3 linked regions of the Caenorhabditis elegans genome follow. The protein of the gene in region 2 interacts with the protein of the main gene of each other region in a pairwise test. Each region holds a gene or a part of one and is shown on either strand. Other genes may lie near its edges. The genes, in order: dpl-1, cfz-2 and T02C5.1.

Region 1 (9,840 bases), on a different chromosome or scaffold from region 2:
TCAATTTTGAAAAATAAAAAAAATGATTTGATCGATTTACAGTGATGACTGAGATCGATGAGAAAATGCAAGTATTCAAGGAAGAAATGAAACGAAAGCTTATCGATACTCCAGTCTCATATGAAGAACAAAGTAAACTTATCAAATATCTAAAAATTCTGGATCCAGAATCAGACCCTACTTGGGATTGTATAACCTCTTATTACGTCTGGCTTGAGAAAAGTCTCTGGGATATGCAGACGCAATTTTTGGAAAAAGCTAAATTAGAGGATCTTGAAAATCAGCAGAGAATCAATTCGCAGAATCACCTGATTACGAAAACCAATGAGCTACAGAACTTTGTGACAACGCTGGTTGAATTATTATTGAGCAAACTTCCCTCATTTTGGAAACTTGCCAACACATATCATAACTCAACGGCTTCTCCTGATGCCATTCAACGATTGGAGGATATTAATGTTAGTGTATTGTAAGCAGAGTTTTGAAACATTTTAATAATTTCAGCAAATGCTGACCAACATCATAAACGTCTCATCGTGGCTGATTCTGAACGCCCTGGTTCCCAAAGCTCTTCCTGATATGGTCTTGAAGCAGTACGGAGATCAATTTGCAAAGTGGCCCACAGTTCCTGCTGATATTAGTCGTTCAAATCTTCAACTCAGTCTAAAAACTACAAGATCTTTGATTTCTTCACTGCTTGAAAATCAATTCAGTCTTACTCATGTTCAACCGTTAGTTGAACTGTGTATGACTGCCAGATTGAAGTTGCTCTCCGATTTCGTAGATTGTGGAGTGGAAAGTGAGTATAACTTTTATACAATAAAGATGATAAATATTATTTTATAAAATATTTAAATTTCAGGAGTTGCTCTTCTTGCTCACCGAATCAACTGGAAGCAAGATATTCTTGACAGAGCACAACAAACAAAGACAATTCTTCCTGATTATTATGAAAATGAGGTTATTTTCCATTTAACGGAAGTTATTAAGATCTATCTATTATTGCAGATTTGCGAATGCCTTACGCGTACTCGTGATGCTCTTTCCATTTCTGGATATCCTGGAGAAGCTTGCCTTTTCTCTCGAGAACGTTTCCGTGACACAATTATTGATCTATTCGTACATCTCATCACTTCTATAAAAATATGTTTCGATCGGTTATTCATTCGACAAAGACCTCAACAATTGGCTCAAGAACCTGGACAAAAGAAAGGAAATAATGAAATAACGACGAAAAAACTTTTAATTGCCGTTGGAGATATCGAATTTATCATTGCAAAAACGCTGAATAATGTTGGCAAAAAGATGCAAGAATGTGGAGTTAAACATGTTGATCAAATTCAAGAAGTGAGAATGAAAAATTTATGCTTCACAATTTTTTTTTATTTTCAGAAATCTCGAGCAAAACTTTCCGCATTCCGAACTAAAATGATCAATGATTGCATTGCGATGATGAGCAGTGCATTTGAACCTCTTATTGCTTCAGCAACTTATGAGTACTTACCAGATGATGATGGTATGTTCAACGATTTCAGATGATACCAGAGCTGAATCAGATTATTTTTTCGAAATTTAAAACAAAAAAGTTAGAAAATACAACAAAAAAGTGAACAAAGTTTTTTTTTAGTTTGAAACATTATTTTTAAATTTTTTTTAAATATTTTGGCTGTAATGGAACTCTTTTTATGTATTATTTACACAAAATTCTGAAAATTCGTATTGAGCAACATAGTTGACGCGCAAAATATCTCGTAGCGAAAACTACAGTAATTCTTCAAATGACTACTGTAGCACTTGAGTCGATTTACGGGCTCAATTTTTAAAATTAATTTATTTTCGAAAAGTTACAGCTATTCTCAAATTTTCTTAAGTTTTTCGTTTTTCCAAAATAGTTTTTGTGTTTTCATTCAAAATTTTATCGATGAAAAAAGGTTTTTGTAAATCGACACAAGCGCTACAGTAGTCCAAAAAAATGAATGAATTACTGTAGTTTTCGCTACGAGATTAAAAAAAGATATTTTATAGAATTAATAATTTTGAATGTTGTCTTTTTTTTGTAAAAAAAATAAAAATTTATGAATACTGAAAAATCTAGAAGAAAAAATTCCGCCAAAAACACGAATAACAAAAAATCTACAGCAATGGTTGATACCTACAGTTGGAAAATAATATTTTTTCTATTTCAGATATCTCCGATTACGCCAAGGAAATGATCCTCTGCTCTGTGCTCCAACAAGCAGAACTAGAACTTTATGCTCCACAGCTAGCAATTGAATGTCTCCAACAAACAGTATCAAATGCTCTTGATGCTCTTCTTCTTCATTTTTCCCGACTGAATCAAGATACATCACCATTGATTGTAACACAAATTGTCATTGATTTGACTGGTCTTGAAGAGGCTCTCTCAACGTATGCCACGCTGGCAATTCGGGTGCAAATAAATACTTATAGAGCAGGACTCGTCGGACGATTTGATAATCAGTATGTTTTTAAATCGAATTGGAAAAACAAATAGTTCTCATATTTCAGACGTCTTCAGCAATGCCTTAAAAACATGCGAACCACTATGCGAATGGCTCTTCAAAGTCTAGAGCAACACGCCGAGAACCTTGGCGACGACTCTCACAACACCTCCAACATCTAGATCAATTTATTAAAAACGCTTTCAATTTTTTCTGTGATATTACAATATTCATCATAATTTTAGTGCCAATTGTTAAAAAAGAACTAAAGCCCTGTAAAAATCTATATCTAAATTATTTAAATTGTATTATTTATTTGTAATAATAAAGTTTCGCTTTTCTCTTTGAACTTATTCTTATGTTTTCATCCCGTACAACACAGCCGATAATCCAGTCGCTTCCACGTACTTTTGAAATGGTCATTCTCTAAATTTTCTCCTTCTCCCGATAGAAATCGGATGTAAGGAGATGAGTTTGGGCGATAAACTGAGAGAGAACATTGACAATTCTATGCTAAACAGGAAAAGCGATCAGAAAAAAGATCTCGAGTGAGTATGTCTTCGCAGTTTCAATTTCAGATGAGTTTCGAGCGATTTCTCGTTTTTGGCTCGGTTATCTCCTGGATTCTGCTCACGTATTGCTCAAGATTTTGGGTGAGTTGATTTACATAAGCCCAGTTTTTTCTATAAGATATCATATTCCAGATTGAATCAGTGGAAGGATATTTAGTTGGTAACCGCCGTCGAGTCATTGCCGTGTTCCGCATTGAAGTGAGTTGCTTCTTCTAATTAAAAAATCTAATTAATTTAATCCAATTAAAGTGCATTTTAACTCTGTTAAATGTGTTTGCATACGGCCAGCTGATGAGATGGTTCGACGATGACATTGTCAAGGAGAAATCGTTGGATCGCCGAAAAATGCAGGTAAAACTAAAAATTATAATCTATCATTCTTTCATAAAAAATGATGGTAAAATCGGGAGCATTGAGTTACATATAATGCTGTCAAAGTCGGGGCATATAAGAAGCATATTTCAAAATGTCAAATTGAACACAAAATAATAATGTAAAAGGTAGATTATGAAATCTGTCGTCAATTCTAATCTGGCAAATGTCGGAATAGAATCGACGAAGAAGACTATACTATTTTAAAGATTAAAGAAGAGGGGATTTTAAAGGAGTCTAGAAATAAAATTGAAACTCGTATAGAAACTATTTTAAAAGCAGATGAGAATCGTTTGAGAACCTTTAAAAACTGGGAAAAGGGGGATAACAACTAGTTACATTAAACATTTACTGGAAATAATCGTATTCCTCCGGTTGAGGGTGTTGAATGAGAGCAGCGGCCTGCGCAGAAGTCATCGGCTGTTCCGTTTTGCGTTCAAATGTGCACATATCTGAAATTAAATTATTTAAATTATTTAAGGCAAATTTAAATTACCTTGCTCCATCATTTTCTTTTGTATAACTTGTTGAGCTGGAGATTGCTTTGGATTGTTGACAACAATTTTACGAATCACTTTCCGAACAATTGTGCCCGGCGGGTGTGGACCACCTGGAGCAACAATTCGCTGAGTTACGATTCGTTGTCCAGGTTGTAACTGATGTCCAGAAATGCTTCCAGCAGGATAGACAACTCTCTGTTGCACTTGATGTGGCTGACCCATATGACTCATTTGTGGTTGCTGTGGACGAACTCTCTGAAAAATAAGAAAAATCAGTTTGTGAAATCTTTAAAACGAACTTACATATCTCTGACCAACTGGCTGATGCATCGGTTGATGTCCTTGTGGCACGTAGTATTTTACAGGTCCTGAATTCACAGAAGTAGCTCCAGTTGAGAGCCTGCGATCTGGAGGTACAGTAGAGTACGGCCGATTGACAGTTCGAACGACGGGAGTCATATCATGCTGAAAATGTTTTAGTTGTACTGAAAAATCTTCATTTTGAACAAACCTTCATTGGTCCTTGTGTCTTCTGTACGTAATATCGTTTGGTAACGGGTGGTACTTGAAGAGGCGTGTTAACTTGAGCTCGAATCTTTTGTGGACTATAAGTATTATACATTGGCCCTCGGCTGGCTGATCCCTGATTAACATTCTTATCCATATCATAATCGCGTTCCATTATACCGGCAGCAGCTAGAAAAAACAATTTTTTTAATGTTTTTAAAAAACTTTTTTACCACTTCTGTCCTCACTTCCATCGTTTATCAAATGCTCCTGAAGCTGTCTGTTGAATCGCGATGAATATGACATTTGCGCCAAAGAGCTTGTCGGCTCAACGTATTGGGCTTGTGAGAGGTTCATAGACATTTGATCAGCAATCAACTGTTGTTGTTTTCTCTTTTCCTCTTTTTCTGCTTCAACCTTTTTACGGTCTGAAAATTGTGGTTTCCATGATTGATTTTTAAAAAGAAATACTTACTGGCAATGATTTCGTCGACATAGTGCTGGTGTAAGGTTGGCAAAAAGCTTTTCGCAGTTTTGACTTCTTCCGCTGTGGGATTTGTAGTCTCCAAACTGCATGCAAGGTTCAACTCTGAAAAATGTGGATCTTATCGGTTTTTGGCATTTAAATTTACTTTTTAAAATTTCGAAATCATCGTGAATTTCAAACTTCTTGTCGAACGAGAACAGAAATTCGGATTTGTCTGATGATACACTGCATTCCACATTTGCTCTTAAAAATAGATATTTGAGACTATTATAATTTTGGAATTTCAACTTACTCTTTATCAGTATTAATTATTAAAAACGGAAGATGAAGTACAGTGTCGTTTTCTGGGCGACCATTTTTGCTGAAAATTTAACTTTTCTAAAATATTTAACACTCAAACGTACTGCTCATTTTTTCTATTCCGTTCGACCAAATTTTTGTAAGAAACAATTTGCAATACCATTTCTTCGAGAGCCTGCTTTTTGGAACTTATGCTGGCTTCCCGTCGCGATTTCTCTTCTTCCAATCTCGAAATTTCTTGTGAAGCTGAAGCAGGAAGTCCAATCCATCTGATATCTTTCTTGCTTTTTGTGATGATATTCATTGCCAAAAGAACGTTCAACGCATCGTATACTCTCCTCCGAATATTTTTCATATCGTATTCTTGTTTCTAGAAAAAAAAAGTTTTTTTTCAAAAGAAGAAAAACAAACTTCTTACCACAACATCAATCTGCTTGATAAGATTATTTTGAAAGTAATCTGCTACCAGTTCATCAGCCACTTCATTGTAATTCGTCAATCCTTTTTCTTTCACCTTTTCACAAACTTTCGTGGAAAAATGTCTGAGTCCGGTTGGTTTGTCAGATTGTTGACCTCCTGCTCCACTAGATCCTCCAACTCCCGAAGGTTCATCCCAGCCCACAGGTTCATTGTGACTCTCATCTTGGTATGAACGAGGAAGACCTGTAGGCATTTGAACAATTCGTCTTCCCATACTCAGGGATACTTGTGGTCGACTTTGTGCCGGTTGGCCGATACGGGGATCGTAGTTTGTCTGCAAATGTTAGTTTAATATAATATCGATTTCTTATTTTACAAACCGGGTTCATTTCTACAGGACCTGCCTGGACGAATCAAGATTTTCGATTGCTTAGATCTGTAAATGATGACTTTGATTACGAGAAAAGCTACGAAAAGTGTTAATTATAAGAATAATGAATGATATTTTGTTGCCATCGTAAAAAACTGATTCTTTTCTGTTCTAAATCTAAATTTTATCGGTTTTTAAGAACGCTGCAATACAAACGTTAACCAGAACAATTTTTGATCAATACGTGAGAGAAATCAATAATATTCGGAAGATGGAGGAAAACAGAAAAAACCCAAATTTGAAGACGCGCCGTGCGTTGCGAGACCCATCAATGACGATAAACAACGCGAGAGGTGTCAAGGCGGAGTGTTGTTGCTGAACAAAATTTTCTTTTTTTTTCGTTCGACACTGAAATTTCAACAAATTGCAATATTCTTGTTGGAAAAAGTTAGCAAAACAAGAATTTGCTTTTAAATAAAAATTTATTTTGTTTTCCTGCTACGATTTCAAAGACCATAACTATTTTTCTCTTCAAATCGATTAAATCTTCTTCTCACCAAAAACTGACCTATTCTCATTTCAGACAATCCGGAAACGATGCTCGGATGGCCTTATTATTTTCCTAGTTCTCGGACAAGCGATTTATTTTATGTATTATGCCCCAGCATTTCTCCAGGTTTGTTTTTAGAAATTGTGTTGCTGTTAAAAGAGTCTCTTGCATTTCAGTGGCTTCTCTTCGATCTCACCTCAATCTGCGCGGGAATATGGACTAACATGATTGCATTCGTATGTGGATTTGGGATTGTTAATTTCTATGCTGGAAAAATGAAGGTAATATTAATTTCAATAATATTTAAATTATTTTAAAAAAATTTTCTCAGATGTTCCATTACACCGCTTCGATTTTGGAAATAATAGGAAAGGTTCCTTATTTTAACGATCTCATGTGGAAAAGAAGATCTCAAATAAAGTAACAAAAAACATCTCATTTCGGAACTTATCATTAAAAATGTTATTTTCAGATTCACAATGATAATCACCTTGCTTCTGTCAGTCAGTATGTTTATATCACGCGATTGGATTGTTGTCAAAGAAAAGACCATCAAAATAAAAAACTTCACTGCTGATGGAAATCGATTAAAATTGGCAGTGATCTCTGATTTGCACGCTGGTGCAAGTGTTTATTCGGAACAAATCAATCAAGTTGTCGAAAAAGTGCTTGAAAATCCAGTTGATGCTATTCTGATTGTTGGAGATATGGTAGATGCTCCTGTTGCGGAAATCGAGGATAGAGTTCGACCAATTCTGTAGGCGAATTAGTTTGATTCACAAAATTTCAATTTTTGTTTTCAGTCAACTCCCTGCTCACGCACCTACTTATTTCGTAACTGGCAATCATGAATATTATTATGGAGACGTTCAGGAATGGATAAGATTCTACAAAAATGGCCGTATTAATGTTCTTGAAAACGAGTAAGTTTTACAAAGTTTTTGAGTTTTTCTTGGAAGTAACAGTGATATTTTTCAGAAGTACAATGCTGAAAGGAGTCTGTTTGGCTGGAGTAAACGATATTTCAAGTCCGAAATCTGGAATCTTGAACACTAAAATGGATCTACCAAAAGCCATCCATCGATGTCCATCAAATACTTCTCAAATCGTCATGGCACACAATCCGGCATCAATTCGAGAATTCATCGTAGATCATCCGAAAGAATTATCAGAAATTGATATTGTCTTATCTGGACACACTCATGCAGGACAATTCTACGTAGTTATTCCAGTAGTTTATTGGCTTCTACCATACTTTTATGGACTCTATGAGATTCCATTTGGAGGTCAATTGATGGTAATGGCAGGATCATTGTATCAAGGACCACCCATGAAAATGATTGGAATGAGCGAAGTTTGGGTGTTGGAATTACTGGGAGAATAATGTGTTGTAAAATGTAAAATTCTCATTAAAACGGTTCGATGACTATTTTCTGTATGATTTCGTTGTAATTTATTTGATCTGTCTGTCTGAAATAAAAGTGTCTTCTTTGCTCCAATTTATTTTAACATTATTGATTTTACCAGTGTTCGGAACACTGTAATATTTTATTTATACAATCATTCTAATTATATTTCAATTCCTGTGATTTTAGGGTTTATCGACGCTTCAATTCTTTTGGAAAATGTCGATTTTGGCAGAGCCGAAGAGAAAACAAAAAATTAGTATTGATCCCCAAAATTTGACATGGAAAAATGACGATCAGAAGTAAGTTTTCTCCTATCAATAATCAGGTTTCATCAACATTTTACAGACTGTCAAAAAAGCTTATGGAGAAAATGGGATGGTCCGAAGGAGATGGCCTGGGAAGAAATCGTCAAGGAAACGCAGACTCTGTGAAGCTCAAGGCAAATACTTCTGGAAGAGGACTTGGTGCTGACAAAATGGCTGATTATGATTCTACATGGATTTCTCATCACGACGATTTCGCCGATCTTTTGGCAGCTTTGAACAAAAATAAAGAACAGGAACCAGAACAAACGGAAGAAGAAAAGAATGCAGCTGCGGAGAAGATTTCCATTGAATTGAAAAGCAAATCGATTAGGAGAAGAATTCAGTAAGTTTGAAACATCATTTTAAAAAAGTATAAGTATATCAATTTTTAGTTATCAAAAATTCACTCGCGCCAAGGATACAAGTAACTACAGCGATAGCCACAAAAAAGGAATTCTTGGATATGGAAGACTCAAATCTGACAATGCCGAAGAGAAAATCGAAGAAAAAACTGAAAATTCATCTGTAAAATCTGATAGTTCTGATAGCCAAGCTGACAGTCAAGAGAAAAAGGAGGGAAATAACACTGTCAGCACCCTATCCGTCGGTGACTATTTCGCTGCAAAAATGGCTGCTTTGAAGGCAAAACGGGAGGCTGCAGCTGCTAATCAGACAGAAGTGAAAATGGAAATAAAGACTGAAGTGGAGGAAGAAGAATCGGATGAAGAAAAAGCTCGTCGAAAAGCCGAAAAAAAGGAGAGAAAACGATTGAGACGAGAACAAAGAGATAAGGAAGAAACTCTGGAAACAGTTGAAACTATTCTGGAAGTAAAACAAGAAGTTAAGGAAGAAATTATTGATGAAGAGTTTGATGAAGCTGAACGTAAACGACTGAAAAAGGTAGATAAGCTATTTTTAGAAATATGGTTGACAGCAAGGGTGTCGTTTTTCGATTTTTTCGATTTTTCGATTATTTCGAGGGAAAATCGAAAAACGAAAATGTTCGATGTTTCGATTTTCTGAAAAATCTTAAAGTCGAAAAAAATGTTCAGAAAATTAATCATAAAATAAGATTTAAAAAATCTAATTTAGCTTATATTGATGAAGGAACGTAAAAATTTCTTTAAAAAATAAGGAAATGACCAAAATTTTAAGCTAATTTTTTTTTAATTGAAAATTTTTTCGAAATATCGAAAAATCGAAAAAAAAACGAAAATTTCGATTTTTTGTTACATACTTTGAGTAAGTCACAAAAAATCGAAAAACCGACACCCGTGGTCGACAGTATCTAGTGCTAAACATCAAATACCTGACTTTATTCTTGCACAAAAAATATTTTGATTCCCTGAATTCGATTAACTTTTTTCAAAAAGTTTATCAATTTATTATCATAGCTTCAAATTGAGTGATAATATTATAAACATGCCCATTACCGAAAGTGTCATCTTGACAAGGTTGCACTTTTATCAAAATTGTCAAAATTATTTGAATAAACCTCAAATTGACACATGTTCCAGGAAAAGAAACGTCTGAAGCGACTCCGCGAGCAGCAACAACCGGAAAATGAAGGAGCTGAAGGTGGGGAG
Region 2 (10,313 bases):
CACGTTGCTTTTCATGTCTCTTGTGCTTCTTCGTTCATGCTTCAACGCACTGGCATCCTCTCCTTTTTGCTCCGTCCGTCTTCTTTTTCTATTCATCATAATTTTCACCTATAGTACCCATTCAGCGTCTTGTTGCGCTTTTTGCAAAAAAAAAGTTTTACTATTTTACTACTTTTTCAAAATATTTGTTTGGCATAAGGGAAAATATTCAGGACAAAAAAATTTAGAACAAGAAATTTAGATAAAAATTGTGTATTTTCAATCATTTGTATTATTATTCTATTGTACAAAAATTGTCTGAGTCTTTTTTCCTGAAAGTAAAAATTTAGCTTTTCTGGAATTTTAGAAATTCCAGAAATTTTTAACGCAAATGTTTTTTCAAGTTTGAGACTTAACGTTTTAATTGAAAATAAAAAGTGGAAAGTAAATTAAAAATTAGGAACTAAATTAAAAAAATTTAATTCAAAATGTTAGTAATTGTAAATCTTAATCTTTAGGTTGACACCAAACAATTTCTAAAACTTTTAAATTTGCTGATCATGCCCACAAAGTGGCTACAAGCAATGTTTTCCAAAAATAAAATTTCTGAGAATACTTGACCATTTTTGGGGCGTGGCTTATCTTGGTCCCCTGGCTCCTAGTTATAAAACTATTGCGGTGAGAGCTATATTTTTGTTCTAGATTTTTGAAAACTTGTCACAATTTTTGAAAATTGGTAGAAAATCTTTCCAAACAAATCTTGATGAAAAGTACATAATTGCTGTCCCCCTTTCTTTGCAAAACCCCACTAAAGTACTAACATATTTTATGCAAATTAGTGTGTAGACAAAGTTCTTCTCCCCCCGTCAGTAGTCTATGTTCATGTTCACCTATTGTTCCATCCCGTCTGTTCGCAGAGGTGCATGGTACCAGCTGCTCGTAGTGTTATGCAACTTACCCAAGATATCATTGTATTTGTTCTCGAGATTACATTATTTGGTAGACTCGAAAAAATAGAGGATTTAGAAGGGTTTTCGTTGTTGTGTTTAATTTTTTTCGTTAATGAGATTTTCGGGTTTTGATATTGAAATTTTATTTTGGAAAAAATATTTCTAAAATAATTAAAATGAATTTTTTTAGACTTCCAAAAAGTTATTACATGTGAGGTTTTTCCAATTTTAAAAGAATTTTGAATTTTTACAGATTTTTGTGAGTGCTTGAAGTATGTAGTTGGAATCTGAAAGATATTTTCGCAAATATTATACAAAAGCTCTATTTTGGAATTGCAAATATATGAAAATTATATTATACATTATTTCTAATCTAAATTTTTGAATTTCTCTTCAATCAACTTTGGGTCAATTTTTTGATTTTTAGAGGTTTTTTTGACCTTCAGATTGTGTTTCATGAACAAAATTTCATCTGAAATTTCAGAAACTCTACTACAAAACTTCAATTCTCTCAAATTAAAAATTGCCAAGGTTAAAATTTTTGCAAGTTCTTTTCTCGACATCTGTGTCCAATAAGAAGTTAGTTTATACTTCTTGCTCCCAAAATGTATCCCAACTTGCTCCCATTTATAAACATTTTCCCTCTTTCAACCCTCTTATTCCCATACTTTTGCACTCTAGGTGTCATTAGACACGTTCTTACCTCCTTCCGTTGACAAATACGGACCACTACAATGCCACGTCATTACAGTACTCTCTTCCGTTAGTCAATAAGTCTCCAACCATGCGGACTAACGCATTGTTCCGAAATTTCTGTGTGTGAGAAATGAGAACGCAAGGTCAATCCAGTCACTGTTATAATCCTATTTTGGAAAATAAGTTGGTAGATTTGAAACTGCGAAATTCGAATTTCAAAATATGTTTGATTTTTAAATTTCCAGTTTCGAAATTGCTACCAAAAATGTTCAGATTTTCAAAAACTATCCTTCTATTCTAGAAATTAAAAATGTTCCCAGCTCATGCTGCAAACCTTCTGAAAATCCAAGTAGCACCTAGTTATAGACACCTGCCAATTTCGCATACACCTGTCTGGAAATTTAGCGCACCTGCCAAATTTGGCATTGATTTTTGGCATATATGCTAGTTTGGTACATACTTATAATTTAGTAGATGTGCATAATTTTGAACTGAAATTCTATGTTTTGTTCCGGTATTATAAACTCCTTGTAATAATAATTGCAATGATTGCAAAGTTTCTAAATTTTTTAGTTTTCCTGGAACTTTGCTCCTTTTTTTTAGAAGGTCGGTGACGTTTGGATATATTTGTTTTCAACATTTTGTACCATTTTTTGAATATTTTTCTGAATTTATTCACATTTTTAACTTTTTTAAAAATAGTTTTAAAAAAAGAATTTTCTTTAATTTCAAAAACAAATTATACTTTCGAAAACTTGTTTTTGTATCGGAAAAATTCTAAATTTTTGTATAATTTATCAGTACATTTTTAATTTTTAATCAACTTTTCGTAGAGTCGGAACTTTTTTTCTAGTAGTTTTCAGGATTTGCGATTTTAAAATTAAAATTATTTGAAGGTTGTCTAACATGACCAAACATCAGTAAAAACACTACAAAAAATATAGATTTTTGAAAGATTCCAGTCAGTTTTCGTAAATTGCCAAATTTTTAAAAAATGTGTACCTTTTGGGAAATTTCCACAATTAATAAAAAAAACAATTAAAATATAAAAATTGAAGAAAAATATGCAATTTGTTCCAATTATTTCAGTGCATTAAGAAATTCCAAAAAAATTTTTTAAAAGCTTTTACTGTAATTTTTGGTCATTTTAAAAACACATGCCAATACTCTTTAAAATTTTTTTAAAAAAATAATTTCCGGTCGCATGTTCCGACCCCTACAATGTTTTAATACAAACAAATAAAACAAAATTAAAGTATGAAAATGTAGGGCAAAAAATTTATTTTGATCGATTTCCAAAATTATGAGTTTTTGCCTATTGAGTAATTGTCATTTTTTGCCAGTAAATAAAAAATTTTCAAAAAGTTTTTGAAACGTTTTATCTTAATATTCGGCTATTTTGGCACCAAGTCAGTAGTTTTAACACTTTCCCTACTGGCGCTACTCCACCTATAATAATTTCAGCCCTATCCACATCTCTAACCCATCCTCCATTCCACCTGTTGTTGCTCACAGTGGGGGTCACCTCCTCCTTTTAGCACCTTCCAAAATTTTCCAACTCCTTGCCAGCCACCACTTTGCCCTCCCCTATTTGCACACTCTTCTCTCCTCCCCCTTTCCATCTCCCCCAGCTCATTCATATATATGTACATAACTTCAGTAGTTGTTGGTTGGAGGTGGTAGAGTCAAAACATATCTCCTCTTTCTAGGCTCTTCTTATGCAACCTGACACCCCTTGAATTCCATTCGTGTTCCGTTTGAGACCCCTATGCTTGCACAACTAGGTTACATACCCCAGCACGTAACAAAATTCTCGTATCCTGAGCCTTATTTATTTCTCATTTTCATAAATTTGTATATTCTTTTTTCAGATTTCATCCCAGATCTAAATATAGAGAATTTAGCTAAAAACATATCTAATTTGATAAAGACCTTTCCGATATATCTTGGTTGGATATATTTTTCGAGTGCCTGCAAACACTCTCTCCACATATCCTCCACTATTTCCCGCAAAAAAATCGTTTCCCCTTACTGGTTTTTTGATGCTTTTGATGCTCTGTATGATGAAAAAGTGCTCTTTGGGTATCTCTCTCTCTCTTATATTTTTGATACCGATCCGATAGCTGATCACTGGATGTTAGGTCAAAGCTCTTGTGTGTATTGTGTCATGATAGTAGTAGTACTCGGTAAATAGTGATAAGCGATCACAGTTTTGCTACGTGGATATTGATTTTTTTGTGTTTTAACGGATCATTTTCTCTAAGAACTCCCGTAACTTGACACCGATCCTCCCTCCTCAGGAGGAAGCGCATCCTTTGTACTTTTCCTGTCTTCTTATTCTCCTCCACCTTCAGCTACTTAAATCTCAAATTTCATTTATCTTTTTTTTTGTTTTTCTTTTTGTTCTTTCCTTTTTCTTTATACCTTTTCTAATATCTTTAACTTCAAAATTAACATTTTATTTCTAGATATGCTACTCCGGATCAGCGTGCTGTTCCTATTGCTTGGCTCCTGTGGGGCTCTTTTTGGAAAACGTCAAAAATGTGAGCAAATCACAATTCCTCTATGCAAAGGTATTGGCTACAATATGACATCGTTCCCGAATAGTTATGGACATGAAAAACAGGAAGAAGCCGGATTGGAAGTTCATCAATTTTATCCGCTGGTGGAGGTGAGTTTTTTAAACAATTTTCTATGAGGAAATATTTTTTGCAATAATGAAAAAAACAAAAATTGAATATTGCACCACAAATTGAGAAATTTTGAATTTCGCGCTAAAAATTCGAAAGACACCAAATTTAGAATTTGCGCTAAATTGAAAAAAAAATTAACTTGGCGCTAAAATTTTCGAAAAAAAAATCCGAATATGAATTTCGCGCTGAAAATTTAAATTTTTCAGAATGAGTTTTGCGCCAAATTTTTGAAAAAACTCAACCCTAAATTTTAAATAAAATTGAAATTTTTATATCACACCAAAAATTTAAAAAAATCTGAATTTGAAATTTCCGCCAAAAATTTAAAAATTAAAATTTTAATTTGGCGCTAAAATTTAAACAAGATTATAAATTTAAATTTGTTATATACTAAAAAAATGTGAACCTTAATTTAGTGCCAAAGTTGTTGAAAAAAAATTAGATTTAAATTTTGAGCTAAATTAAATAAAATCCAAATTTAAATTTCGCGCTCAAAATTTGCAAAAACGCAAAATTGAATTAGGCTCTAAATTACGACAAATTCACAATTTTTTTCGCAAAAATCAAGAAAAAAGTAAATTTGAAAAACTTACCTTCTTCCAAAAATCAAAAAAAAATTTATATTTCCAGGTCGGTTGTTTCCAACATCTCAAATTCTTCCTCTGCACAATGTACACCCCGATCTGCCAGGAAAACTACGACAAACCAATTCTCCCGTGCATGGAACTTTGTGTGGAGGCACGCAGCAAGTGCAGTCCAATAATGGCCAAGTACGGATTCAGATGGCCCGAGACACTGTCTTGCGAGGCGCTGCCAAAGATGTCGGATCAGATGTCGACTGGGAACATCTGTGCAGCTCCACCAGATACACCAAAGAAGCAGCACAAGGGGCATCATCATAAGAATCAGAACCAGAATCAAAATCAAAATCATAACTATAGTCCAGATGGCCCAGAAGTCGGAATTTCCAAGATCGACAATGAAGTAATAGCCGGTCCCAGCGAGTGTCAGTGCACTTGTAACCAACCGTTCCAGTTTGTGGCATCTGAAAAGTCCAAAGTTGGAAATGTAACAAATTGCGCCTACTCATGCCATTCCCCAGCGTTGGCCGAGAGTCATAGCCTGGTGAGCAACTGGATGGCGTTCTGGAGCATCACATGCTGCGTGCTAGCCTCCTTCACATTCCTCACATTCCTTATCGAGACCGATCGATTCCAATACCCCGAACGTCCGATCTTCATGTTGGCATTCTGTCAGCTCATGGTTGCCGTCGGATTCATGATTCGATATTTCGTGGGCCACGAGGAGATCGCATGCGACTCGATGAGGATTAAGGGGGCTGATGATAACTCTGGATCCTTGTGCTTCGTCGTTTTCCTGCTCACCTATTTCTTCGGAATGGCTGCCTCGGTTTGGTGGGTGATCCTTTCGCTAACCTGGGTGCTGTCGGCCGCTTCAAAGTGGTCCCCCGAAGCGATTTCCTCGTTCTCATTCCATTTCCACGTGGTCGGATGGTGCCTTCCCGCTATTCAAACTGTATTGGTAATAGTTTTTAATGCGATCGATGGTGATCCGATAACTGGAATCTGCTACGTGGGAAATACTGATCTACAATTCCAACGAATCTTTGTGCTTTTCCCATTGCTCGTATATTTCATCGTTGGAGTTTTGTTCTTGGTAATCGGATTCTGCAATTTGTGGAGTATCAGAAACGAAGTACAAAAGCAACATCCTTCACTGGAGAGTGCCCATAAAATCACGCAGTTGATGAGCAAAATCGGGATTTTCTCATTGCTCTACACAATTCCATCGTTATTGATTATCTGTGTTCTATTCTACGAGCAGAATCATCGATCATTATGGGAGCAATCGCAGTTGTGCTCATGCTCGCCAAAGCAAACTATCGGTGAGTTTTTTTTTAAACTATAACAATTTTTGATCTAAATTTCCCAGTAAACATTTTTTTCACATTAAAAAATTTCAGTTGCTCGCTAAAATTGTTTTTAGAAAATTAAAAAACGAGTTTTCTAAAAATTTTCCCAAAAATTTGTTTAATTCCACCAAACATTTTTTCTCAAAAATTCAAATTTTCCGCAAACATTTTTTTAAAAATTTGATTTTACCGCCAATATTTTATTTCGAAAAAATTGAATTTACCGCCAAAAATATTCTCTGAAATTTAGAATTTCATGATAAAAATTATTCAAAAAGTTTAATTTTTCCGCAAAATTTTGCCTCAAAAATTGTGAATTTCTTTCCACATTTCCTTTTCAAAAATTCGAACTTCCAGCTAAAATTTTTCTCAGAAAAAAATTTAAATTTACTGTCAAAAAGTTTCTCAGAAAATTTGAATTTCCGCCAAATTTTTTTCCTCAAAAAATGTTAAATTAGTGTCAATAATTTTTTTTCAAAAATTTTAAATTTCTCGCCAAATTTTTTTTCTGAAATTTGAACCCCCCCCCCCCCCCCTATTATTCTTCATAAATTTTAAATTTTCAGGCGACTCCTCACTGATCATCTCCCTTATCAAAACTTGCTGTATGTGCATTTTGGGATGGACGTCCGGATTTTGGGTGTGCAGCACCAAAACTCTATCGTCGTGGAAAAATGCTATTTGCTGTTTGGGTAAGTTGAATCTAGCTTGAGTTTAAACAAGTTTTATTAATTTAATAATTTTAGGTTCCTCCCGATCTTTACCCAAATACCAACCGGCAGACATACTTTACGCTAAATCTGACATGTCATCCTCACAATTCTACAACACAAGTCTCCGACACAACCATCTTTACGGAGGCATTCCTGACAAGCTGTAGTGCTCAAGAAATGCATATTTAATATTTGTGATCCCCGCACATCTACCTCTTCAGGACCAACTTTCCACAATACTTGTAGTCGTTAAAATTAGTTTTTTCTCATGAGCTTTTACCTCTTCTTTCTCACCATCATCATCCCATTGATCTCAAGTTCCCGGCATTCTTTCTCAGTTTTTTTAAAAGAAAAGTTTTTGCAAATAATTTTAATATCACAAATTTAATAACTAAAAACAATGTTTTTGTAATCTTATTAGAGTGTTGTTTTTTGAATACTGCCTGTTCCTCTTGTCGAGCTTTCGGAATGTACATACCTAATAAATATTATTTTAATTGATGATTTTTTTGTTGAAAACATTTACGGTATATTAGAAGATTATTTCATGAATATTGTCAGTCAAGACACTTGTGTTCGATTGAAATTCACTTTAAATGGCAGAAAAACGACCGTCATGACCGAATAAACTGTTAAAAAGTTTTTAACATTTTTTTTGAATTTTGCCTATATCAAAATGTGGCCAAACTGAATTTAAATTCCCACGCAAATGAGTGACGTCATTTTTTATATTTTCGCGTTTTCTGGCTAAAATCATGATTTTTCTGGATTTTTTGTTCTAAATTTAATACATGTTTGTAAATTTTCAGACACTTTTCCAAAGAAAAAACATACAAATCATTTACTATATATAAAGCGCGTGTCCTTCTGTCCCTATGTAGTTTGATCTTTGATCTTTGGTCTTTGAACTCTGTAGTCTGTAGTTGGAAGAGGTATTGGGTTGGAAGTTGGTGATGGATAATGTCAAGGTACTGTAGTGGTACTGTAGGAGTACTGTAGGTATACGGTAGGGTTACTGTAGTTTAGGAAAAATTGAGTTTTTGTCTACAGAAGAGGTATTGGGTTGGAAGTTGGTGATGGATAATGTCAAGGTACTGTAGTGGTACTGTAGGAGTACTGTAGGTATACGGTAGGGTTACTGTAGTTTAGGAAAAATTGAGTTTTTGTCTACAGAAGAGGTATTGGGTTGGAAGTTGATGAGGGATAATGCCAAGGTACTGTAGTGGTACTGTAGGAGTACTGTAGGTATACGGTAGGGTTACTGTAGTTTAGGAAAAATTGAGTTTTTGTCTACAGAAGAGGTACTGGGTTGGAAGTTGGTGATGGATAATGTCAAGGTACTGTAGTGGTACTGTAGGAGTACTGTAGGTATACGGTAGGGTTACTGTAGTTTAGGAAAAATTGAGTTTTTGTCTACAGAAGAGGTATTGGGTTGGAAGTTGGTGATGGATAATGTCAAGGTACTGTAGTGGTACTGTAGGAGTACTGTAGGTATACGGTAGGGTTACTGTAGTTTAGGAAAAATTGAGTTTTTGTCTACAGAAGAGGTATTGGGTTGGAAGTTGATGAGGGATAATGCCAAGGTACTGTAGTGGTACTGTAGGAGTACTGTAGGTATACGGTAGGGTTACTGTAGTTTAGGAAAAATTGAGTTTTTGTCTACAGAAGAGGTATTGGGTTGGAAGTTGGTGATGGATAATGTCAAGGTACTGTAGTGGTACTGTAGGAGTACTGTAGGTATACGGTAGGGTTACTGTAGTTTAGGAAAAATTGAGTTTTTGTCTACAGAAGAGGTATTGGGTTGGAAGTTGATGAGGGATAATGCCAAGGTACTGTAGTGGTACTGTAGGAGTACTGTAGGTATACGGTAGGGTTACTGTAGTTTAGGAAAAATTGAGTTTTTGTCTACAGAAGAGGTATTGGGTTGGAAGTTGGTGATGGATAATGTCAAGGTACTGTAGTGGTACTGTAGGAGTACTGTAGGTATACGGTAGGGTTACTGTAGTTTAGGAAAAATTGAGTTTTTGTCTACAGAAGAGATATTGGGTTGGAAGTTGGTGATGGATAATGTCAAGGTACTGTAGTGGTACTGTAGGAGTACTGTAGGTATACGGTAGGGTTACTGTAGTTTAGGAAAAATTGAGTGTCTACAGAAGAGGTATTGGGTTGGAAGTTGGTGATGGATAATGTCAAGGTACTGTAGTGGTACTGTAGGAGTACTGTAGGTATACGGTAGGGTTACTGTAGTTTAGGAAAAATTGAGTTTTTGTCTACAGAAGAGGTACTGGGTTGGAAGTTGGTGATGGATAATGTCAAGGTACTGTAGTGGTACTGTAGGAGTACTGTAGGTATACGGTAGGGTTACTGTAGTTTAGGAAAAATTGAGTTTTTGTCTACAGAAGTGGTATTGGGTTGGAAGTTGGTGATGGATAATGTCAAGGTACTGTAGTGGTACTGTAGGAGTACTGTAGGTATACGGTAGGGTTACTGTAGTTTAGGAAAAATTGAGTTTTTGTCTACAGAAGAGGTATTGAGTTGGAAGTTGGTGATGGATAATGTCAAGGTACTGTAGTGGTACTGTAGGAGTACTGTAGGTATACGGTAGGGTTACTGTAGTTTAGGAAAAATTGAGTGTCTACAGAAGAGGTACTGGGTTGGAAGTTGGTGATGGATAATGTCAAGGTACTGTAGTGGTACTGTAGGAGTACTGTAGGTATACGGTAGGGTTACTGTAGTTTAGGAAAAATTGAGTTTTTGTCTACAGAAGAGGTATTGGGTTGGAGGTTGGTGAGGGATAATGCCAAGGTACTGTAGTGGTACTGTAGGAGTACTGTAGGTATACGGTAGGGTTACTGTAGTTTAGGAAAAATTGAGTTTTTGTCTACAGAAGAGGTATTGAGTTGGAAGTTGGTGATGGATAATGTCAAGGTACTGTAGTGGTACTGTAGGAGTACTGTAGGTATACGGTAGGGTTACTGTAGTTTAGGAAAAATTGAGTTTTTGTCTACAGAAGAGGTATTGGGTTGGAAGTTGGTTATGGATAATGTCAAGGTACTGTAGTGGTACTGTAGGAGTACTGTAGGTATACGGTAGGGTTACTGTAGTTTAGGAAAAATTGAGTGTCTACAGAAGAGGTACTGGGTTGGAAGTTGGTGATGGATAATGTCAAGGTACTGTAGTGGTACTGTAGGAGTACTGTAGGTATACGGTAGGGTTACTGTAGTTTAGGAAAAATTGAGTTTTTGTCTACAGAAGAGGTATTGGGTTGGAAGTTGGTGATGGATAATGTCAAGGTACTGTAGTGGTACTGTAGGAGTACTGTAGGTATACGGTAGGGTTACTGTAGTTT
Region 3 (10,533 bases), on a different chromosome or scaffold from region 2:
AATCGCAAAACTCGAATGCGCAGAATTGACAACCAGCGTCTTCTTTGTGCACGCTCACTACGCTCATGGAGGGATGCAGGGCGCCGTTCGGAGGACGTTTGTCCGATCGTTGATTTTGAGAGGTTTGTTATGTTTGAACAAATAACAAATTTCGAATTGGAAGTTGAAACAGTTGACACTTTGGTAGAGCCAAGCAGGTGTTTCTGATAACTGATAAACTTTTCAACAAGACTTTTGCAAGCTATTATTCTTAAAAATGAAGTAGCTCCAGTGAGGAAAGTGTTTACAACTACTCCAAAATGACGAAATATCTGTATGAAAATTGAAATTTTTTGTGACAGTTACCCACTCATTTTGCCACTCAATATTTTGGAAGTTGACCTAAAATATTTTTTTTCTACTATTTGTGTTGACACATTCTAGGGGTCGGAACAAGCAACATTGCTCTGGATTTCCTTAAAAGCTTATATTTTTCATAAGTTTAGCAATCTGCCAAAACTTTGAAAAATCGAAATTTTTTGGGCTCATTTTTGGTCGTTTAGAATAATTTTGAATGTATTCGACAAAATCCTCTCTGGCTCTACTTCACCTCAAAAAGCAGAACTTTTCAGCTCATTTTAGTTTTTGGGTACAATCAACCTCTTAATTTCGACATTTTTTGACAAACCATAAGCACGCGGCAATTATTGAAAAATTATTTAAATATTTCAATAAAATTTAATAAAAAAGTATAGGCCCATATTTGCTTTACCAGAATCACATTTAATATAAAACAACTGAAAAAGTGCTCAAAAATTGTCTGAAAGTTGAAAATTCCCGAAAAAAAATTTTTTTTTGATTTTTTTTTTTGATTTTGCGACCAAAAAATATATCAAAACTTCCCGATTGCTTGTTGAAAATTGTTTAAACAAATTATTCCAATATTCTTGTTTCCAGATATTTGGACGATTGCACCGAACTCGAGCAAACATCTTCCCAATCAACTTCACAGTCCAATCCAGCCGTTTGAACTAATTTTCTAAGGCTACACGCTAGCATTTTCATCAAGCACCGCACATGTATTTAAATCAAACATTCTTGTACCTTTCCCAGACATAGTCATTTTCTGCTTTGTATACTTTAAGCAATTGTGAATTCTAGTTGTGAATCTCTCCGGTTTTGAAACCACCTTTTCTTTCTCCCCCTTGCAAAATATAGTCCGGTTAATACTCAAGTAGTATTTCTCCTGTATTGTTTCTGTATCGTTTCCCACCATCGAAACCCATACCATGTTTCTGTGCAATTCCATTTTCAAACTCCATGATCTTTTTCCCTGATGCTTTTATTTTCCATTTCAATTCCAAAGACCTTGCTGCTTCTATAGGTGTCCTACAATTATGGCTTTAACTTTTTCAAAAAATTTTTTACATTATGGTAACTTTCAATATTGAACTTGTGGAATATTTTTAATTAATAAACAAGTATGTATTAAAAATTATTTTGTGGAAATTTGTTTATCAATTGGCAAACGATAGGAATAGTTTTTAAAGGTGGAGTACCGAAACTCGAGACTTTGCTTTTTAGACCCAAAATGACCCAAAACTACCAAATTTTGAATTGAGACGTTTTGAAAAATTCTCCAAAAAAGTTACGGCCTTTCAAAGTTTTGGAAAAAAACGATTTTTTTCATCATAGTTTTTCAACTTCTCGGTGTCGCAGCGTCTGAATTTTTTTCTATTAAAGGTGGTGTAGTGGAATATTTTATTTCTTTATTAGACTCAAAATTGTCTGAAAACATTGAATTTTATAATTAAACTTCTTGAAAACCTTTTAAACAAAAGTTATGACGGCTCAAAAAGTAGCCTAAAATTAGTTAAAATTTGAAATTTCACCTATTTGTCAATGTCGCAGCGGCTGGAAACAATTTATTTTTGAAATCAACGTCAAGTTATAACTATAGAATGTAATTCTCTCGCGTTTTCAACTTTATTTAGGTATTTTAAAGTCGATGACGGCGAGATTAAAAAAAAAAAAGTTTACCAAATCTTGCCGTCCATCGACTTTAAAATACCTAAATCAAGTTGAAAACGCAAGATAATTGACGTCTATACTCACAATTTGACGGTGATTTGAAAAAAATTCCAGTTGCTGCGACATTGACAAGTCGGTCAAATTTCAAATTTTAACTAATTTTAGGCCATTTTTTTGGCCATCATAACTTTTTTTAAAGACGTTTTCAAGAATTTTCATAACGAAATTCGGTATTTTCAGACAAATTTGAGTCTAATAAAGCAATAAAAAATTCGACTACACCACCTTTACACTATTACTATTTAATAAACTTTATGGTATTTTATTAAGCGTATATTTGTTGACTTAAGTACATTTATGGTCAGGGAGGCAAAAAATGTAACTTTCTTTGGAAAAATATGCATATCCTACAAAGTATAAACATGCCAAAATTCGCAATATTTCGTATACTTCCTAACTTACATACTTGCTCCATAACATATTCTTTGAGCCCAACTCTCTCAATGTTGTTCAATTTAATGTTTGATGGAAACATGTTCCATAATGCACTGATAAGACAACAACTACCGTGTTGTCAAAAACAAACTGTTTTAGGTTTAATCGGAAAACGATTGAGACCGTCGTCTTGATGGAATATTATGAAATCACTGTCAACAGAACAAGTGACCAAAAAATGTTGTAAAAAGCACAGATGGACATGAGAACGCACAGTTTTTATTCAGACACCGCCTTACAGATGCGAGAGCAACCAGAGCAGTTGATGGGCACACAGGCACGACGATTAGTGGGCAGCCGCCCGTACTCTCTGTCTTTTGACTGCATCTGGGCAGTTGTCTAGATATCGATACAATTTTGACCCAACAACACAGTAAAATTTTGGTCAATATTTGCTTTTTATCATAACTTCCCTCCTGTCATTTTTGATTGTTTTGTGAGTGAGAGTATGCAAATGGTGAGATGCAACTTTTGCCAATGGACTAGTCACAAGACTAAATAAAATAGAAAACTAGTCGCAATAAATTATTAGAGTGAGAAATAAGTTTTGTGGTATGTTTTTTTTGTGTCTCAAATAATATAAATTTTTCAAACGTTTGTACCTAACTTTTTTAAAATTCAATTTTCAATATAAATTGAATATGTTTGAATTCAAAAATATATAAGTCCTTGATTTATTCTGGTAAAGTTTACTAGATTCACTCCGTGCATTTTTATTCTTCAAATATTTGATTAGGCTGGATCAAGGATTTTGATTGTCAAACACTGAACCAGCTTTTGGATACAATTTTGCAGTATTGATCAATATTATCATTTCTCTTATGAAATATTTGTTTTCCAGCATACGAAAATGTGTGATATTTTTATTAGTCATGGTATATATTCATGTGACTGCAGTTAAAATGATACAAATGTTCTAAAAGCCGGAAATATTCTGTACTTTTGATAGCTCGTAAATCTCGTTTCAACGCTCATTTGTGAAAAATGCGACCTACAGTACTTTTGGTAGCGGCGTGTAAACTTAATAAATTTTAACATTCACGATTGTGCACTCTCTCAACTCTCATAGAAGTAATTGGAGATTCTGATTTTTTTTCCAAAGTGCAACGTACCACAGTTCTTCTCCAAAACTTTTCCTATTTCTCAACTTGTATATTTTTTCGCAATCGAACTTACTCACAGATTTTCAATACTTCATCTACAATATTTTTGTTAATAAATTCTGAAAATCGGAACATACTGCATTGCTCTGGATTTCCTTTAAAGCTCACGGTTTGAAAATTTTGGAATTCGCCAAACGTTTGACTCAAACTTTCCAAAATTGTTTGGAGTGTTTTATTTGGTCATTTTATTATTATTATTGGTGTATTTAAACAAAATTCCTACATGCAAATTTCGAAAAAATATTTTTGTTAGTTTCAATTATAAATGTTGTATATTTATCATAATTAGGAGACAAGAGCAAGATCACTTTCCAAGTGATAAAATTTTTTTTTTGAATTTTCAAGAAAATTTTCATCAACTATGTTTTCGAATTTGTTTTAATGGAGAATGTCATCTTTTTAAATAGTTAATAATTTTTTTCACAAAACAAATCCGCGTGTTTTTGGAAACTTGAGCAGAAACTTTTTCTATTTGTGCTTCAATGGTTATTTGTCTTCACTTTTAATAAACTATCAATTGCCATGTTTTCATATTTTTAATTTTCCACCTCATAACTCACCTCCCTCGCAACTCAGAAAATTAACATTGGCTTCCAAAGTTCACCACCTTTTTTTCTCTAACCACACCATACAAATAGAACTGTTATCAATCTGAAATTATTTAAAAAGACGTCGCTGAGATAAGAGCGTCAGTCCTTTACACGCGGCACGCAATGAGAGGAGCACTGCAGTTACTACTTTTTGTTGGTACAGTCACTCTGGTGAGACCTATTGTACACTTTGAAAATATTCTAGTTAAATTTTTATTCAGGTGGCCAGCAAGCTACATGAGTCCCCTTACGTTACCGAATGCTTTGATGTATGTTTAAATTGTTTTTTTGTAAGTTCTCAATTTGTTTTAGGGGCACTACAACTTCAGAGGCGTCTGCTTCCAATGCACTCCATGTGGTGACTTCATGTACGAGCTGTAAGTAATTTTTTGTTGATATTTTTTATGCCAAATTCATTCAAAAATTACGGGACACTGTCTCATCGTGGAATCTGTAATAAAAAGTCTGTAAACTGCCAGATTTAGCGGTTAGATCTTTAGATACTTGAAAAACCAATTCCTTATGAAATTGTAAAACATAAAACAATCTGACAGCCCGTGTATTCAAACGGTCTTGTCATTTAGCATTGATGTCAGAATACTGATAACTGTGAAGAGCATGTCATGCACACCTCGGTGTCATATGGTGTCGTGAAAACTTAGTGCTATTGAGTAACAAGGTGATTGATAAGAATAAACAGTACTTCAGTTTGAAAACAGAAATTTGATAGCAATCAATTTTCCGGGCATTTGTTTATTCAAACTTGTGACTAGCAAAACATTGAACATAGTGAGTTCAACTCACCATGGGTTTTCAAATTAACTCGGCATTTGGAGCATGGGTGTGCGGCAAATATGCCAAATTTGCCCAGCACAGCAAAACTCGAAAATGCAGATTTGCCGAATTTGCCGAGATTGGCAAATTTTGAAATTTACACATCAGTAGGAATGTTTTTCAGAAAATGGGTTTTTAAAAAATTTATTTAGGTACCTTAACTTCAAAATACCCGTTTATAAGGTTCAATTAATTTTCTAATATGAAAGTTTATGAGTTTCAAAATCTGCATGCAACCGTTGTAGAACATTATCATGCAAAAATTTAGTCAGGGGTCAAGCTTGATAAACAATATTTATTTTCAGTTTCTTATGACGTCATATATATATATATTAAACATATTTTATTATCTCGTACGGAAAACTCGCATTTCGTCGAAAATTTCCCTTTTGTGAAAAACTATTAAAGTTTTTAGAGCAAAATGCACGGATACTTCAAACACAGTTTGTGGATGGTGTGGAAACAAACCAAACTTGGACAAAATTTCTGATGAGTATGTCATAAAATGAGGCTGATTCTATTACAAAGTTAGCCCATGTTTCAGAGTGCTTGTCTCTTACCAAACCAAGTGTCTTATGTCTAGCCTAGATTTCATCGGGATGACCAAACTGAAAGACGAGCTTGTCAATGTTTTTGATGATGAAAAGGATAGTGAGGAGGTAGAAGAGTTACCAATTAAAGATAATTTCATCAAAGGTGAAAATCTTGAGATGATTGATTCAAATGAGATCAACTACGATATGGCGAGAAACAGTTTAGAAGATGTGTACGATAGTCAAGAGCACCAGCTACCAGACCCGACTTATGAAGAAGGAGATGATTCAAGTTCTTCGGAAGAAATTGGCGAAGAGGAGAAGACTGATGAAAATGAGATTGGAAGCGAAATTGTTTCGGAAAAAGTCAAAGCTTACATGATTGAAAAAAGTGAAAAAGTTCCGTCTTCTGTTAAAATTGCGAAAGGAAAAACTACAATTGTTTCTCATGAGGTAGGTGGAAAACAACAAAACAATAAAGTTAGCATATTTAAATTGTGCTATGCACTGCGGATCTGGAAGTCAGGAACACTGCCTGGTAGTGCTCTCACTGGGATATAAGGGTGAGGCCGGACTTGAACTCGTGGCCTCCAGATTGCTAGCGACCACCACTACCAACTGAGCTATCCCGCTTCTGAAATATGTCGGAGCAAATCATTGAAATAAGAAATTGAAAAGTTTTGTATACTCAAAAAAATTTTGAAGACTTTTTGACGACCCAATTTTCTTGAACTAACTTTTTTCTTTTTGTTTTTGTTGATTTTCTAAGTGTTTAATTTAAGCAAAATTCGCACACAATTGAGAAGATGCCAGAAAAAGTGGCTCCGAGTTAAAACCGTTGGGGTGGTTAAACATTTTTGAAACTGCCGTCATAAATTCCCTCACTTTTAGTATCATCTATAATCTACAAAAAAATTATTGTGTGAAGCTAACTTTTTGATGTAAACTTGGGATATCTCGCTCTTATGTTTTGAAATTGACCATGAAAATTGAGTGCCCAATTTTTAAATTTTCAGAACTAAATTCATCATTTTAATTTCAGGAAGCCGAGGCCACATTCCGAGAGATTGAAGCCCTACCAAACCCTGTGCGCAAAATCAACCAAGACGATTATGACTCCTCTGAAGAGTCAAACGAGCGTGAAATCAAGTGGGACAATTGGGTTGATGATCAAGTGAAACCAATCAGAACGGTATGTCTGCAAATCTACCCGGATTTCTGAAATTTTTTTGAAATACAGAACGTCGAAGTTGTCGAAGCCGAGGAGATTGAGGAATTTGACCAGCTCATCGCGTAAGTCAATGTTTCAATGATTTTTATTTGAGAAATTTCCATTTTTCAGAAAGTCGCTCAAAAATAGAAGAAAGATCTTGAATGATGAGACAGAAAGCTCACCACTATTCATTAAAAACTTGGGTTCAGTCTTTGTCATCTGTATGGGAATGATCATTGTTGTGTAAGTAAGCTAGATCACGTGGATTCAGAATGTCATATTTCGATTTGATCTTCAAAAAATGCGGGAGTTGAGACGCAGACATCTCATCTGATTTCGCATGGTGCTAACGTCTCAATTTTTCTGGAAAAAAACTTCCCGCCTTTTTTTGTAGATCAAACTATAAATCAACACGTCTCAGATTCTAACTTTTGAACTGTAAAATCTATGGTTTGTTTTTCCAGCACTATTCTCTCTATCACATATGCTTTGATGCGTGCGGAAAGAAAGGAATTCTTGGGCGTCCCCACCGACTCGCAGGACTATCATAGTAGGGATTTCAAAAGAGTTACAAAAAAATCTAATGTACAAAGTTTATTCCAGTGATCATTGATTCCAGCAATTATATCGAGAAGCTTGAAAGCAAGGAAAAACAGGCCAGCCGTCACGTTCATGTCAACCCAGTTTTCGATGTTTGATTAATTTTATCTTCTCCGTGAGAATTATGAGAATTATCTGTTTGTATATTTAATCTTCTTTATTTTTTTATTTTTGTATTTTTTAAATGTGCATCCGCATTTTCCATTTCATTTCTTTTTACGTTCTGAAATAGTAAATTTAAAATTTATGGGAAGAATGTATCTTTGATAAAACCTTTATTCCATTTCAAAAAAAAATGTCGGGGTAAAACACCAAAAAGGGAAATGGGTGATAACACCGCCTGAGGCCACGAAATTTAAGTGGAGGGAAATGAGAGGTGATAGAGATAGCATATAATACCCGAAGTTGCATGAATGGCTGACAATGCTCGAAGAAAAAATCAAACAAGGGATGGTTCTAGAAGGGAAAGTGAAAAATGAAAAAGAAAGAAAAAACGCAGAAAGGTACATTTGTAATTAAAATTTCAAATATGGCCATTAAAACTTTTTCAATACGGTTTTTAAAAAACAGGTAACACGGAGGATAGTGGATGTACACATAGATTAGCTAGACGACAGACTGAACAGAAGCAGTGCCCCTATGCGGTCTACTATTAACAGAGCTGATTGATACGGTACTTGATGGCTGTGCTGCGAAGCCTCTTTTGAGTTCGAGCTCTGCATAGTTCACACCCTCGTGGAATGCAGCGACCGTTGTCCGTTTCTTCTGAAGTGATGATGAGAAAAAAAACAAAGAAATGAATGAAAGAAGTGAACCCAGTTAAAAAGCTTTAAGCAGAGAGGAGGCTGTGAATTGAAAGCTTGGATTGGTTGAGAGCATGCACACCAGCGTTAGAGCCTTGAGAGAGAGGGAAGTAAATAAGGAAAGCAGTAACACAGTTTAATAAGAGACACGCACACACATAAACGGCCATTTTAGTGTGTTAGACGATAGACATGCGTAATTGAGCATCTTTGACAGCCTGGTCGTACGCGTTTACCTAAAATCGTTTGATATTAAGTGGGTTTTAACATTTTAACACGTGAGATATGAGTGGGATGTGAAATGGTGGATAATATGAGCTTAGAAGCGAAGCGTTGGGGAGAGGGTAAGTTATCACAAAAAGAAGGAGAAAACCGAATACCTAAAACATTTTTTTTGATTACTATGACAATGTGTGAGAATGGAATGAGATTGATTAGGAAGTCGGGGGATTGGGATCGGGGGTCGGAAGATACAACCTTCAAACTCAGACGACAGCTTCACGACTCAAATAGACGCCGTACGCCGTATCGCATACCTCGGGTGGGTGTTGTGCGAACAATCGTGGAGCATTTGGTGGTGGCTCGAAATAATCATTTTCTTGGTGAATGTTCAAGCTGAAAATAGGATTTATTACAGCGCTATTCTATGTACTATGATCTTACTTACTTTGCTTTTGTTTTCGGCTCATTGTAGTCTGGGTGATCTTTCACGCCTGAAATTTTATTGATGATTAAACGTGTTCATAATATGTATTCTGCTAAATTATTTGAAAAATTATAACGGAACTCTGCCACTTGGGAGTTCGTTTCCTTAAATTGTAGTACCCAGCCACATTAGGAAAAAAAAATGTTTTAAGCCAAAAAATCTAAAACATGAGAATTTGTTTTTCTAATTTTCATATAGCTTCTACTTATCTTTTTCGATTTTTTTTTCGATCTTCAGGGTGATACATCATCACCGTACGTTATTAATTAAAATTTCAACTGTCGAACTTACAGGAGGGCTAACGGTTCTAGGTTTCCTAATTATATATAAACGAATTTCGTGATGAAACTTCTCAAACTTTCTCAATTTTAGAAAATATACTTATGGCGGTTCAAAATTTTAAACAATAATTGCTTTACCTTGGCTAAAATCTCAAATTTTGGTCGATGTTTTGTGTCGCAGAACTCCGAAATTGGCTTTTTTTAAATTTCCATTCTTTATTGCATATTTTGGTATTTTATCTTACATTATTGATTAAGCTACATTACCTTAATTAATAAAAAACGACCAAAATATGCTATAAATGATGATAAACCAGTTTTTAAATGAGAGATTTTAGATATAATTTAGCCTTTTTTTTGGAAATTTAGAACCCCCATAAAAATATTCAAGAAAATATTTGAAAATATTTGAAAAGTCTTATTAAGGGATTCGATTATTTGGACTCGTGTTGAGTTTTTTTGGGCCTATCCCCAGTAGCCTTTTCTAGCTTTTCGGGCAATTTCACTTGTACTTTTTGAAATTTTTTATCTTTTCCTCTGGTAACATTGCTACTACAATTTGTGACAACAATCCCACAAGTGGCTTGAAACCCTAAAGTTCACCATGAAACTGTATTACTGTACAAAAATTTTTTCCACTGTGAAGTAAATCTCGCATTTTCAAACTCACGTCTTCTAACACAAACTGCAATAATACAGATGACAAACAGCAAAGCAGCGACGCCAATCAAAATGTACATCCAGAAAGTTGGCATGCGACCCACCATCGCACTATCCCCACCAAGTAACGCATCCATGGAGACTGGGATTCTGCAAAGCAACAAAATTGAAACCAGTTTGTCATTCACACGCCTACTGTCCGTCACTATTCAACCATCTTCCCATAAAACACTTCCACAAGTGACACAAATACTTGACGTCTTCACAGCCATAACGTCCTTTTTCTACGACTTATTGTCTCTATTTGCATATCTTATTCGCTCTCACAAAAAGAAAGCCCAAATGAGGAGAGGTTGACCTCACATGGGATTTGACCCCTTCTACTCTTTCTCCTTTTCTCTCGCATTTGTACACAATATGCGCGCTCACTTGAATAGGTAAATAGGAATGTGCATTTGGCGTATAGCAAAGACATTGGAACATCTTATTTGAATAGTAAGGGTCCCCCCCCCCCCCGCGTTTGCTCATTAATCTACTGCTCAACTCACTGTTTCGATCCGAATTGGTTCTGGAGTTTGAGAGCAATCCGACGATATTGATCTTCTTCACGAACTGGGGAAATTGAGAGCCGAGCAATGTAACAGT

Evidence for each region.
Region 1: the proteins of cfz-2 (region 2) and dpl-1 interact in a two-hybrid assay, tested with the Caenorhabditis elegans proteins (one study listed by BioGRID).
Region 3: the proteins of cfz-2 (region 2) and T02C5.1 interact in a two-hybrid assay, tested with the Caenorhabditis elegans proteins (one study listed by BioGRID).

What each region holds. Positions count from the first base shown.
Region 1 is NC_003280.10:9,166,126-9,175,965, reverse strand, and holds dpl-1 (Transcription factor dpl-1), read right to left. Parts: upstream 6,057-9,840; 5' UTR 6,010-6,056; coding exon 6,001-6,009; intron 5,955-6,000; coding exon 5,619-5,954; intron 5,571-5,618; coding exon 5,305-5,570; intron 5,262-5,304; coding exon 5,193-5,261; intron 5,144-5,192; coding exon 5,046-5,143; intron 5,003-5,045; coding exon 4,889-5,002; intron 4,842-4,888; coding exon 4,647-4,841; intron 4,603-4,646; coding exon 4,418-4,602; intron 4,372-4,417; coding exon 4,210-4,371; intron 4,162-4,209; coding exon 3,903-4,161; intron 3,859-3,902; coding exon 3,755-3,858; 3' UTR 3,401-3,754; downstream 1-3,400. Other genes in the region: sec-5 (Exocyst complex component 2), read left to right, coding at 43-458, 505-799, 863-960, 1,009-1,347, 1,393-1,516, 2,187-2,481, 2,530-2,644; T23G7.2 (Calcineurin-like phosphoesterase domain-containing protein), read left to right, coding at 3,041-3,115, 3,167-3,232, 3,284-3,385, 6,574-6,666, 6,717-6,821, 6,872-6,960, 7,013-7,297, 7,344-7,463 and 1 more; T23G7.3 (G-patch domain-containing protein), read left to right, coding at 8,166-8,248, 8,295-8,597, 8,647-9,154, 9,772-9,840. UniProt on the Caenorhabditis elegans protein: Synthetic multivulva class B (synMuvB) protein. SynMuvB proteins are required to repress the induction of vulval development by Ras signaling and probably act by forming the multiprotein DRM complex that represses transcription.
Region 2 is NC_003283.11:3,438,658-3,448,970, reverse strand, and holds cfz-2 (Frizzled-2), read left to right. Parts: upstream 1-4,093; 5' UTR 4,094-4,095; coding exon 4,096-4,296; intron 4,297-4,948; coding exon 4,949-6,224; intron 6,225-6,817; coding exon 6,818-6,943; intron 6,944-6,997; coding exon 6,998-7,131; 3' UTR 7,132-7,467; downstream 7,468-10,313. UniProt on the Caenorhabditis elegans protein: Receptor for Wnt proteins.
Region 3 is NC_003284.9:2,690,554-2,701,086, forward strand, and holds T02C5.1 (TNFR-Cys domain-containing protein), read left to right. Parts: upstream 1-4,369; 5' UTR 4,370-4,381; coding exon 4,382-4,429; intron 4,430-4,479; coding exon 4,480-4,527; intron 4,528-4,570; coding exon 4,571-4,635; intron 4,636-5,507; coding exon 5,508-5,585; intron 5,586-5,636; coding exon 5,637-6,078; intron 6,079-6,667; coding exon 6,668-6,817; intron 6,818-6,865; coding exon 6,866-6,918; intron 6,919-6,967; coding exon 6,968-7,081; intron 7,082-7,302; coding exon 7,303-7,388; intron 7,389-7,441; coding exon 7,442-7,536; 3' UTR 7,537-7,720; downstream 7,721-10,533. Other genes in the region: T14G11.1 (Membrane-associated protein), read left to right, coding at 1-122, 937-1,009; igcm-3 (Ig-like domain-containing protein), read right to left, coding at 8,045-8,203, 8,778-8,856, 8,909-8,954, 9,899-10,038, 10,437-10,533.